Linked DNA regions of Daphnia pulex. The protein of the gene in region 1 purifies or fractionates together with the protein of each later gene. This does not show direct contact. Links are inferred from orthologs where the notes say so. Each region holds a gene or a part of one and is shown on either strand. Other genes may lie near its edges.

Region 1 (6,163 bases):
CTCGCAGAGAAACAAGTCTTCTTTTTGTTACACGTAAAAAGGAGCTGCTGATCTCAATCAGCTTTTGAAAAATCAACTGTGTTTCATCAACATGGGAATTTCAAATTTCCCGCCTCATCTGATTTTACTCGTTTTCCCGCTGATTTTAATCATCGACACGACGAAAGCCGTGGCCATCCACCACGAAAGGACATTGGGTAATTTCTCGTAATTTTATTGGATTGAATTTTCGTTTGGAATGATTTGATTCGCTTGCCAGTGGAAGAAAGACGTCGCCCGGATGAGACGGCCTCGATCAATTGGACGGAATTGATGGCCAATGGCGAGCTGGACCAACGGGCGAAACGGGCCCTGTTTCTCAACTTGGTCAATGCGCAGCAAGCCAAAGCCGAAGAAAACATACGTAGTAGCATTCATTCATCATTTATTGCTGCGGCATTTAATTACGATTATTGGATTGATTTTGGCATCGATCAAACAGGGAGGAGGAAGGATTTTTTCAAAGTCCTTGTCGCCGCTACATCGGCCGCCTCGATCAATGAACGCACCGATATTACCAATCATTCGGCCCAGAACGATGTTGAATAGTCGACGACCACCAGTTTCATGACTGCCAATCAAACGGCACGGACTTTGTCTTTTCCTGACGCATGTGTACCAAGTACAGAGAACTTGTCATCTAACAAAACATTACAGACGAATAAACGTTTCATCGTTTACTGTAGTCACTTATTAGACGTTGCTTAATTATTATTATCATTAGGCTGACACGATTTATACACTAACGTAGTTGGAAAAATATACTAGCATTTATTACTCTGCATCAAAAAAAGGATGCCCGTTTGTTCGATACATTTTTCAGATCCTTGGCTGATTTGAAATTGGAACCATTTTCCTTGGTTGTTTTAATTTTTGTTAATAGATGGCGTCGATCGGCTACTCATTTCAAAATCAAAACAAACCTTATGTCATGTTGGCTGTCGTGATTCTGGTTAATTTCTTCGCAAAATGGTAATATTTTTCATCCTTCCAAGTAAAATCTTGTTGGTGTCTTACAGTCTATCGAGTGTTGTTGACTCAGTGAACAATCAAAATAGAGCTGAGCTTGTTGCTTGTCATTATGCAAAGATTCTTATTTGGTTAGGGGAAAATATACTACAATTGATGCATAATTTGCACATGGTGCTCAGTAACATAGTATTTCTTTTCAATTATTTCTTAAGCAAAATTAAGGTCACTCCTGTCTATCCTACAGGTTACTCAGGAATACAATTCGTGTTTACAAAACGTTCAGCTAGCTAACTTGAATCGTGGTTTACGAATGAAAAACCTGCAATTTTTCAGAATGGTCTGTTTAGAAAATTTGTTTCTGGCAATTTGCAAGCTACTTAATATTTATCTTTTTCATCAAATTGGAAACCCCACTAGAAATGAAAACCACATTTTCTTTTGACATCTGATTAACCAGCCAAATAGAGGCCATTGTCAGCAGTTTTAATTTAGGTAAAACAAAGTATTCATTTATCTTGAGTCCTATACCTTGCGAAACTTTTGATACCATTTTGTAGGTTGTTTTATTGAGCGTCATCCCTCAGCCAAATATTAATATATATTGTCTCGACATTGACGCCCATTTCTGGAAACAAAGGCTGATAAACAAAGTTGGAATCAACAGTTGGAACAGAAATGGCGCAATAAAAACCCGACGTAAGTACGCAGATGTGAATTATTGATTCAACTATATCGTGAATACAGCAGTAGAAACATTCGAGCTGCAGAAACTTTGCCTAATTTTGCCATTTATTATAGATGATACGTTTAGTACGCCTTGGAAGTTGTTGCACTGATTTTAGTCAACATTGATGATGTATTGTGCCGGGGTGTGTTACCTGAAAAATCACAAACTATCCACTCGTCGATCCGAGTGTAGCGCGTGCGATGTTTGCGGTTTCCTTCCATTCCGATTCAACAAATAAGTTTCCTGGTTTGCCATTTTGTTGTTTCTCATCTTTCGTTTCGTATAATTTGTATTCTTTTGCGCTTTAGCACGTGCAGATGTAGACGAAATGATTTGGTGAATATAAGAAATGAAGAAACACCGCGTTATTCAATTTCTTGATTGGATTTCCTCAAAAGTGGTTACATAACCTCATTTTCGAACGTGTCACGTGCCTCCTATAGATCGCAATTCTTGTTTCCTTGACGCCTCCTTTTGTTCCTGGCCGTCACGTGCATTGCATGTGCAGCTTCAGCGGGGATTTCCCCTCTGCGTTTGGTCCTTGTCTGTAACGCAGACGTGTGGGAGGTTCACGCTCTATTATTAGACCCGATTATATTGACTCTCATATGCATTTTTTTTTGTACCTCCTGTTAGTTTTATTTGGGGTTTTACAAACTAATTTAGACGCAACTGTTGGACATCCCGTCATAGTTAATATCACAAAGATGTTTTTATTCCATTTTTTAAAACTGAAACGCTGCCCGTGTTTCTTATCCTGTTCAATGGGCTAAAACAACATCGTCATTCGTAGTAATTCATTCATTATTCTGTTAGGTGTAATAATTGTTTCGTGACTCTTGTAGCGAAAAGAAACTTTTCAGACCACATTTGCTGAGACGATGACTTGGAAAGATGTAGCAGCACCCGGAGCACTCCATAATTGCCATAATTTAAAAAAATCAAGTTTCAAATCATTCCAAAGTTCTTTAGGCGAGATCTGAGTAGGAGTGTGTTGTTTGACCGCCAGATGACCGTCGTATCTGTCTTGCCAAAATCTTTTATTGGCCAAATTTGTCGACTTCGATTCTTATTATTAACTGAAAGTTTTGATTTCTTCTTGCTTTTTATGTTGTACTCATCGACGTGTTCATTGTGTTTAGATCAATTCATGGTATGGCAAGACTTTGATCTTGATTTCACATTTTTTCCTCTTCACCAGAGGCTAAGGATTAGAAGTTTAGAACCCCATTGTTTCCCTTAAGAATTTTGGTTCCAACTATTTTTGACTTCCTGCATTTGGTTACCAAGGGCACAATTCTTCAGTCAGAGTTAAACTGATGAATATATTTCTGAATTGATTTTTACAGGGTTAAAGGACTTGGTTTCCCTTTCTGTGCAAATGGACAGTTTTCCTTTGCCTGTCTTCAACATCGAGTCAGAAGATGAAGAAGATCATGAAGTTATTGAAGTTCAGCAAGATGTCAAAAACCCCAGGCGTGAACACTTGCACAAATTGTTGAATGACAGGAGCCTTTCGCTACCGACTCACAACCAAAATACCATTCTCAAGAAGCTTGAAGCCATTGCTGAAGAAAATCTTTTGAAAAAGGATCTGAGAGAAACAGTAATTGTTTACTTAATGTTATTCTAAATGTTGCCTTTAAACTAAAATTTCTTATCCCTTTTATACAGTGTTGTACTTTGCCAGGGAATCCAAGATCTACATTTCTTATGGTCTTCAGTCCGGATGGGTAAGTAAATTGACAAATGTCTACCTCAAGAGAGAGACTAAAATCATCATTCTGTCACCCTTTTTTCAGTTCCAAGGTTGCTTCATCACATGGTGATCACAACATCAATGTGACTGACCTAAGGACTAATAAATGCATCTCCACTTTGACTGGACATCCCCGTACCCCTTGGTGCATTGCTTTCCATCCTCATCGCAATGACATTCTGGCATCAGGATGCCTTGGAGGGCAAGTTCGTGTTTGGGATTTGTCTGTAAGGTTTTTTTATTCTTTAAAATGAAGCCACTTTTCCTTTGTTCATGAGAACTGTTCTTTACCATCCACCTAGGGTGGGAGTGAAATGTGGTCAGTGACAGCCACAGAAGTGACCACAGTGATTGCTTCGCTTTGCTTTCACCCAAGTGAGAGGCTTCTTGTCATAGCCACCAACAGCACCTTGTATTTCTGGGATTGGAATATTCCCCAACCCTTTGCCAAATGTAGTACAGCCAATGAGAAGCAGAAACTCAGGTATTTTCTTCACAAGTCTCATTATTCATCACTAATTCAATGAATATAACTTCCCCTTTGTTTGTTTAGATATGTCAGTTTTGACCCTTTGGGTAACTTGTTACTCACTGGAATATCCAACACTTTTGGCACATCTGCCTTTGTGTCCGGTGCAAGTTCGTCTCTCTCAAGTGGTCCTTCGACATTAGGAGGCCCTGCTCAAGTCCCGAATCCTATACCTTACCGACTCGAGCGCAATGAACAAGAACGTGAACGCAACCTTCAAAGTCGTTATCAGGTGAGTGTCATTGGTTTCTTTACAGCTGGTTCATCACTTGACGTTTCAATCATTTTTTCGCTTAGACATTACTCGACCAGTACGAAAGACTACGAGTTCGTTATCAGGAACTTCGCCATCGCGCTGCAGAACTGGAACTTAACGCCTCCGGTTCTAGTCAGAGTACTGGACCCTCAGCAGCAACAACTTCCGTTCATATCAATAGCGAGGTTCCTCTTCCTCCACCATCTGCTACTGTCGCTCCAACTCCTTCTACCGTTTCTTTTGCTCCCCTTGTTGAACCGTCCACTAGTAACAGCAGCCGGACGAGTCCTCCTCCCCCTCCGCCCGCTCCCACCCCTTCCGTTGAAGCGTCTCTATTGAGCGCCTCTTCGTCCAGCGACAGGTTCTGGCGCACGCTCATGAACGCGGCCGAGAACCTGCGAGCCCTCAGCAATATCGGTCGCACTCTAAACACCAATCAATCGCAGTCGTCTGGAACGGGAGATCAAGGCTCGTCCAGGCCAAGTGGAGCTTCGCTGGATCAAGATGCCCGGATGAGGATTCAGCTCCTCAGTCGACACATTGAGAATATGCAGCGCATTTGCCGTTCTCACCTGGAAATGACTCGGCACCGGCGTCAAGTCTATCGACTCCAGCAAATCCGGCGCATCCTGGAGGATCTTAGGGAACAAATTCGTTACCTTCAAGTTTGCGTCAGAGACAGTCTTGACCTTGTCTCTCGACTGCGGACGAATCCCGTCACTCCAACTGGAACGAGCGGCCCGTCCTCATCGATTGACCGCCCAAACTCTAGTCAACGTCAATCTACTGATGCCCTCGCTGCTAATCGTGAAACAGGAGGGACAGCCGGGAGCAGCAACAGCGGCCCTATCCTTGAAAGCGATCTCCAGTTTAACAGCAGCGGGCGAATGGTCCTGGGATCACGAGCTTATTCGCCCGTTCAGTGCCGCCGATTCGCCAATTATTTGTTTGGCCGTTTGCGTCGAATTGGACTCCAACATCACCGCGATGAACCGAGACTCAGACGCAATTTTGTTGCCGGAAGAGACACCAGATATCCCATCCGGTAAAATTCTATTGAAATTAGCTGTGGCTTCAATTTATTCCATTTTGTTGGGTTTTTACAGGCGATTGAGTCTTTATCAGAGTGCTCCTAGTTCGCCCCCAGTCAATCCGGTTGAACAAATTGACCCGCAGCCGGGAACTTCTCGTGATTATTCCATGGAAATTGGTGGGTGTTGTAAACGTTATTACCTATTAGAACTTGAAAATTTTATTCTAATTTCTTGTGTTGTTTCTTTTAAATTTTGTCAAGATTTGGCATTCAATGAAGTGATGCCGAGTTTGGATCGTGGATCGAGTCATTCGGTTGGCTGGAGAAGATCTCGGTTCTCTCGGATGACTCGTCGCAACAACTCACACATCTCGCCCAGGAGCAACTCGCTACTTCACGCCCGCCATTTGGGAATCCAGAGAAGAAAACCTTCACTGCTTAACCGCATTTTCCACGGGCGTAATCTTCAAAACCAAATGAGATCCCTGTCGACTCACCATTCGACATCGGAAGCCACTGCTCCAGTCAATCTGGAAACTGGACAACGTTCCGGCGATCAGGTAACATTCTCTGATTATAATGAAATTGTCGTGGATTAATTTGTTATTTTTGCCATTTTTTCCAGTCACTTCGTCCTTTGATGGAGCGTCTAGAGTCGCATTTCCGACTTCAGCGTCAGACAATGGGCATATTGGCCCAGCTGAACGAAGCCGCTGTAGCCAACGGCATTGGCAATCCAACTAACGATGGTTCCACGGCCGCTGGAGAAAGTTTGATCGACGGCGGTGGTGCGTCCACGGCCAGTTTTAGTGATAGCAGCGTATCATCCCGTGGCGGGCCGTGGGCCT
Region 2 (6,368 bases), on another chromosome or scaffold:
TTACTGGCTGATGGGATTGAAGCCGGAAGCCGGAGCTTTCCTTTATTCTTGCTGGGTTCTAATCGTTACTTGCAATACTGCCGCCGCTTGTGGTTAGTCATCTTCCATTGTTTCCTGCCTTTTTAATTACAGTTTATAATGAACACGATTATGAAATCCATTAGGAACGTTCTTCTCAGCAGCGTGTGAATCTATTGCAGTGGCCATAAGTTTCCTCATTCCATTTGACTACATTCTTTTCATCACTGGTGGTGTGCTCATTAGTCTCAGGTATTGCGAATCATCGTTTCATAATTAAGGGGGCTCGTCTAATTAAAACCATGTGCATTGTTGACAGCTCACTGCCGGAATACGTCTCGTGGACCAAGTATCTTTCCTGGTTCCTCTACACAAATGAAGCTCTTTCTGCTGTACAGTGGCAAAATGTTACATCCATTAAATGCGATGAGTCAAATTTCCCTTGCCTACATAATGGCCAAGAAGTCATGAAACACTTCAGTTTTGATTCTAGTCGTTTTTCAGTAGATATTACTAGCATGCTATTTATTTATTGCACTTTTCATTTGCTTGGTCTGATGGCCATAGTCAGGCGTTCACGATCCTAATTTTCCTTCACGAATTTAATATACTCAAATAAATATACAAACTAACAAGAGTAGATCTTTCATTATATTACTCTCTCGTTGAAGTCCACATGAAATTTACTACACACCGCATACAATTCACAAACTTATTATTCGTTGCGTTTCCATATACATTCTAGTTAGACTTTGGACAAATCATTCCCATCCTAATGTACATTCACCTTGAACCCTCAAAACCTTTTAGTTTCTCCTTTATTATCAAGTTATTAATTACACTCAACCCTTGGTGTCTCGCCTAGTTTGGTCTCACGCTCCGAAGTTTACCTGGATTACGAGGATCGCCTGCCATTTTATACCGGTAACGCAAAGCGATCCAAATGATGCGAGTAACTTTTCATTTCTTGAAAATGCCTATCTCCGATCCAGTTAGTCTTTTTGGATACGCACACGCAATCCAACGAAATCAGAGACAATCCATTTATTACTAATAATCTGGATCATATTATTGAAATGTTTTCCCTGTTATAGAAATGGTAACAACAAACTCGAGGTTAAATTTTATGTTGTTCCCTGAAAACAAGATAAATATAGACTAAATTGTCTTTGATTAGAAGTAATGAAATGCAAAGGAATTTAACAAAAGTGGATTTTTTATTCTCCTAAACTGCACATGATATAATGACTACCATACAAAATCTGACGCCCAAATATTCCCATTCATTCAATTTAACAGGGAAAAGGATTTATATCAATTATTGTTCAATCTTGGCCAACAAATCACTCTCACGGAATAGGTGGTATTCTTTGTCTTCAATTTCAACTTTTGTGCCACCATATTCGGGAAGCAAAACATTATCACCAACCTTCACAGCAAGGGGAACTAAATCTCCTTTCTACGATAACAAAAACAAATCATTAGACAATTTAACAATGGTTGTTATCAAAATTTACCGTACATCTGTTCGAGATCCTGGTCCAACTGCAACGACTGTGCCTTTCAGAACTTTTTGTTGAGCCTTCTCGGGAATAACAATTCCACCTCGTGTTTTAGTCAAGGCCTCGGCCCTTTCGATCAAAACACGATCGAACATTGGGATAAATCGTTTCAGTGCGCCTGCCTAAAGAAACAATATTGATAAATTAACTATAAAAACAGGCAACTGAAAAACTGTTTACCATTGTAATTTTTGTTGATGGGTGAGTGTAAAAACTACGTGTTTCTCGTCAACCGGCAAGACTAGCTCTGGCGAAGTTAACGTGAAGTAAAGAAAATGAGCGTCTGCTGGAAGCTTACATAAGCCACGTGGTTCTAGAATGTTCCAACAATGTTCGATATATCAAAACTGCTTCATGGGTTGTGTTTTAATTGCTTTTGAATTTTTTAAAAGTCAATTCAACTATGATAAATTTTTTTCCTTATACCAGCAAGTACTTGAAACTAGCATTGATGCATATTTTTTTACTTTTATTAGATTGTTCTAGAACAAAGGAACTGGTTTTTCTCTGGTTTTTCTATGCGCATCGGCGGCACATTCTATTTTCACGAATAAATGCGGTTAACCGACCTTCATTTAATGTTGTGTTCACATAAATAGATTATTTCTTCCATTAAAAAATACATTTTTTTCAAACTAAATATTATTTTAATTTTTTATTGCAACATGCACTTTAAATGGGTGATCATATGGTGGTGAATCGGTGATCTCGAAGTTTCCGCAAGCACATTTTTATTTAGGCTAAGCGCACGCTCGTCTTCTGTTTCACATTCAGTCTTACTATCGTCGGCAAGCGTTGCACGTGGGAACTACTCAGCTACATTAAAGTTTAATTCACCTAAAAAGTAAGTTTTGGACGTTAATTATCATCTGTTAAAATTAGTAGATGTCAATAGTCAGTTCCTCAGTGTTACCGGCTTAAAATATGGATTATTTAAGTCTTTTTTTCTGTTAAAAGTTACCAGTACATAGCGTTAGCAGCGTGTTATCCATTATCTAACAGATCTGTAACTTTTTTTATTACTTTAGAGATGTATCGCCTACCAAGTCTTCTGAGAACAGCAGCTCTTCGCCAGATCGCTCCTCAAGCATACAGAAATTATGCTAAAGATGTTCGATTTGGAGCTGATGTACGAGCCTTAATGTTGCAGGGAGTAGATGTTCTTGCTGATGCAGTTGCTGTAACCATGGGTCCCAAGGTAATTTCAAAATTAGATTTGCACTTCAATTCGGACTACCACTTACAATTTGTTGCTTCTATTTACAGGGACGTAATGTTATTCTAGAACAATCATGGGGCTCACCTAAAATCACTAAGGATGGTGTTACTGTAGCAAAGGGTATCGAATTGAAAGACAAATTCCAAAACATTGGGGCCAAGTTAGTTCAAGACGTAGCAAATAATACAAATGAATCTGCTGGTGACGGAACAACTGCTGCAACAGTCTTGGCTCGCTCCATTGCTAAGGAAGGATTTGAAAAGATAACAAAAGGTGCCAATCCTGTTGAAGTTCGTCGTGGTGTCATGCTTGCTGTTGATGCTGTTATTGAAAACTTGAGAGCCATGTCCAAACAGGTTACTACTCCAGAAGAAATTGCTCAGGTAACTAATGAGACAATTCATTTTTGAATTAATGTTAACTGGAATTCCTTTCGTTCAGGTTGCTACCATTTCTGCTAATGGTGATGAATCAGTTGGTAAACTGATTTCTCAAGCAATGAACAAAGTTGGACGAGAGGGAGTCATTACTGTCAAAGATGGAAAAACTTTGATTGATGAACTTGAAGTCATCGAAGGCATGAAATTCGACCGTGGTTACATTTCACCCTACTTTATTAACACAGCAAAGGGCGCTAAAGTAGAATATCAAGATGCGTTGGTCTTGTTGAGTGAGAAGAAGATTTCTTCCATTCAATCCATCATTCCTGCTTTGGAACTCGCCAATCAACACCGCAAACCCCTAGTCATTATTGCGGAAGACATCGATGGCGAAGCTCTTAGCACTCTTGTTGTTAACAGGTAAAAGTTTCTTACCTACATTTTTTAAAGAAATTGTAAATTAACGAAAGTGTTTTTCAGACTGAAGATTGGACTCCAGGTAGTTGCAGTTAAAGCCCCAGGATTTGGCGACAACCGCAAAAATACGCTTCACGATATGGCCAATGCTACAGGTGGCTTGGTCTTTGGTGATGAAGCAAATCTCGTCAAGCTCGAAGATATTCAGCTGCACGACTTTGGTCAGGTTGGAGAAGTGGTTGTTACTAAAGACGACACTCTGTTGTTGAGAGGTAAAGGCCGCAAAGAAGACATCGCCCAGCGTGTTACCCAAATCAAGGATCAAATTGCCGAAACAACATCAGAATACGAAAAGGAGAAGCTGCAGGAAAGGTTAGCCAAACTCGCCTCTGGAGTTGCTGTCCTTAAGGTATAATATTCTCTCAATAAAGCTCCACGGGTCATTTTCTAATGTTTTAATTCTTTAGATTGGTGGATCAAGCGAAGTTGAAGTGAACGAGAAAAAGGATCGTGTTAACGATGCACTCTGCGCCACCCGAGCTGCCGTTGAGGAGGGTATCGTTCCTGGTGGCGGAACTGCTCTACTTCGCTGTATTCCTATTTTGGACAAGCTGTCCTATGCAAATGAAGATCAAAAAGTTGGCATCGACATTATTCGTCGCGCTTTGAGGATGCCTTGCATGACTATTGCTAAAAACGCTGGAGTTGATGCTTCCGTCGTCGTCTCTAAAGTTATGGACTCTGAAGCTTCCATTGGTTATGATGCCCTCCGAAATGAGTACGTCAACATGATTGAACGCGGTATTATTGACCCTACTAAAGTTGTCCGAACATCTCTTACTGATGCCGCTGGAGTTGCATCCCTCCTCACAACAGCAGAATGTGTTGTTTGTGAAATCCCCAAAGAAGAGAAGGCCGATGGCGGCATGGGAGGAATGGGCGGAATGGGAGGCATGGGTGGTATGGGAGGTATGGGCGGAATGATGTAACGTCCCAAATCCAAGTCAATTTCTGTTCCAACCTTTCATGTTACTTACCTTCTTGATTGTAGTGGTGTTGTCAAGTTGTATAGCGGTAATTTTGGAGATTTTCATTCCTCTTGTTTGACATCCCAGTTTATGTAATCATGTTACTGCTGTTCAATCTTGAGTCATTCATCGATCTGGAAGGCACAATTATCAGCTCTACAGCGTAGTATTGGACACGTATGAATCACTCGTGATAGGAGACACTACTGTCGTTTTTTTTTCGTAGTAAATCATTATAAAGTCTTACTTTCTAAAAAAAAAAAAAAAAATACATGAACAGTTTTTTGTAAAACCTTCTATGTTTTTGAAAGAGAAGGAAGGTAAAGGGTATAGTTTGGGTTGAATCATCTGGAATTCATCGATAAAAAATTGCTAAATAAATTGCAATGAACGTAAAAGTTAACAACTGACGTTTATTCGGTTAAATTTTGAAACAAATTACATAAAATATTTCTAGTGTAGTTGGATAAAATAACCAATCTCAGGACAAGGACTTTACTAACAAATGGTCGTTTTTCAATTAAAATAAAACAAGCCCTTCCTAAAGGGTATCATAAAATGACCTTAAGAATTCAGATTAAAATTGATGCAGTCATTAAGTTTTGCGCAAGCACAACGAATTGAAAATGCACATTGCTCATAGAAAATATGATTTCATTCCAAATCAGTAATGAAATTTCTGAATTAAAAATTAATTGTTATAGCTTTAAAAGTGCATTAAACTTTAACGTGTCCTTGAATTTTCCCGTAAAAATTCGCATTTCCCTTCCCTTTTACTGCCTGGGGGATTTAGGACGACGGTGGACAAACGAACTAAAATATTTAGCTATCTGGCAACACGTAACCGTCTCTCTTTGGTGTCTGCCATTGCCGAATCGCGTGTCAATTTCTACCCTCAGTCGGTTTCTTCCTTTCAGACCTGATAAAATAATCATGGCTTTCGGCGATCTTAAAACTGAAAATGGTGTTAAGGCCCTTAACGAATTCCTAGCCGATAGAAGTTACATTGAAGGGTAAGTTTTTCACTTTATTTTAAGTATGTGTTGCCGGGTACAATAGAACTGTTTCTTGAGCATGCTTTCCGTTTCGTTATATCTAAAAATATGTCGATGTTATATTCTTGTGTATAGATATGAACCGTCTCAGGCGGACGTGACCACCTTCCAAGCTTTAGGAAAGGCCCCTGCCAGCAGCTTCCCACATGCTCTCCGCTGGTACAACCACATTAAATCATTTGGGTCTGAAACCAGCAAATTCCCAGGTGCCAAATCTGCTGCTGCAGCCCCAGCCAGCAAACCAGCCGATGATGATGATGATGATGTTGACTTGTTTGGATCTGATGACGAAGAGGTACTAACCATAGGCAAATCCCTCAGTTAATGAGTATTAACAGAAATTTCCGCTGTAGGATGAGGCTGCTGAGAAGATCAAGGCAGAAAGAATTAAAGCCTACAGTGAAAAGAAATCCAAGAAACCTGCGCTTATTCCCAAGTCCTCAATTGTCCTAGATGTTAAACCCTGGGATGATGAGACAGACATGGAAGCCATGGAGAAAGCTGTAAAAACCATCACATGTGATGGTCTTATTTGGGGACAGTGTAAGTATTTTCAATGAAACACATTTTTTACAGCCAATTAAAACTGTATTGTTTATTCAGGTAAATTTGTACCATTGGCATATGGTATCAAGAAGCTCCAAATCGGATGCGTCATTGAAGATGACAAAGTTTCTGTTGACTGGCTT

The links. The genes of interacting proteins can lie anywhere in the genome.
Region 2: the proteins of uncharacterized protein LOC124201900 (region 1) and heat shock protein 60A-like purify together in Homo sapiens (affinity purification with mass spectrometry, with the first as the bait; 3 studies listed by BioGRID). This does not show direct contact. The link is inferred for Daphnia pulex from reciprocal best matches to the Homo sapiens genes AMBRA1 and HSPD1.

The regions. Positions count from the first base shown.
Region 1 is NC_060025.1:57,985-64,147, reverse strand, and holds the start of uncharacterized protein LOC124201900, read left to right. Parts: upstream 1-2,733; 5' UTR 2,734-2,891; intron 2,892-3,087; 5' UTR 3,088-3,119; coding exon 3,120-3,344; intron 3,345-3,412; coding exon 3,413-3,471; intron 3,472-3,540; coding exon 3,541-3,724; intron 3,725-3,799; coding exon 3,800-3,981; intron 3,982-4,050; coding exon 4,051-4,258; intron 4,259-4,323; coding exon 4,324-5,327; intron 5,328-5,388; coding exon 5,389-5,492; intron 5,493-5,576; coding exon 5,577-5,875; intron 5,876-5,940; coding exon 5,941-6,163. Other genes in the region: uncharacterized protein LOC124201901, read left to right, coding at 92-197, 260-588. UniProt on the Homo sapiens protein: Substrate-recognition component of a DCX (DDB1-CUL4-X-box) E3 ubiquitin-protein ligase complex involved in cell cycle control and autophagy.
Region 2 is NC_060021.1:6,594,946-6,601,313, reverse strand, and holds heat shock protein 60A-like, read left to right. Parts: upstream 1-2,318; 5' UTR 2,319-2,424; intron 2,425-2,610; coding exon 2,611-2,778; intron 2,779-2,846; coding exon 2,847-3,182; intron 3,183-3,240; coding exon 3,241-3,599; intron 3,600-3,659; coding exon 3,660-4,005; intron 4,006-4,063; coding exon 4,064-4,585; 3' UTR 4,586-4,739; downstream 4,740-6,368. Other genes in the region: protein scarlet-like, read left to right, coding at 1-92, 165-270, 338-605; 10 kDa heat shock protein, mitochondrial-like, read right to left, coding at 1,337-1,477, 1,541-1,702, 1,761-1,763; elongation factor 1-beta-like, read left to right, coding at 5,558-5,637, 5,755-5,974, 6,033-6,222, 6,283-6,368. UniProt on the Homo sapiens protein: Chaperonin implicated in mitochondrial protein import and macromolecular assembly. Together with Hsp10, facilitates the correct folding of imported proteins.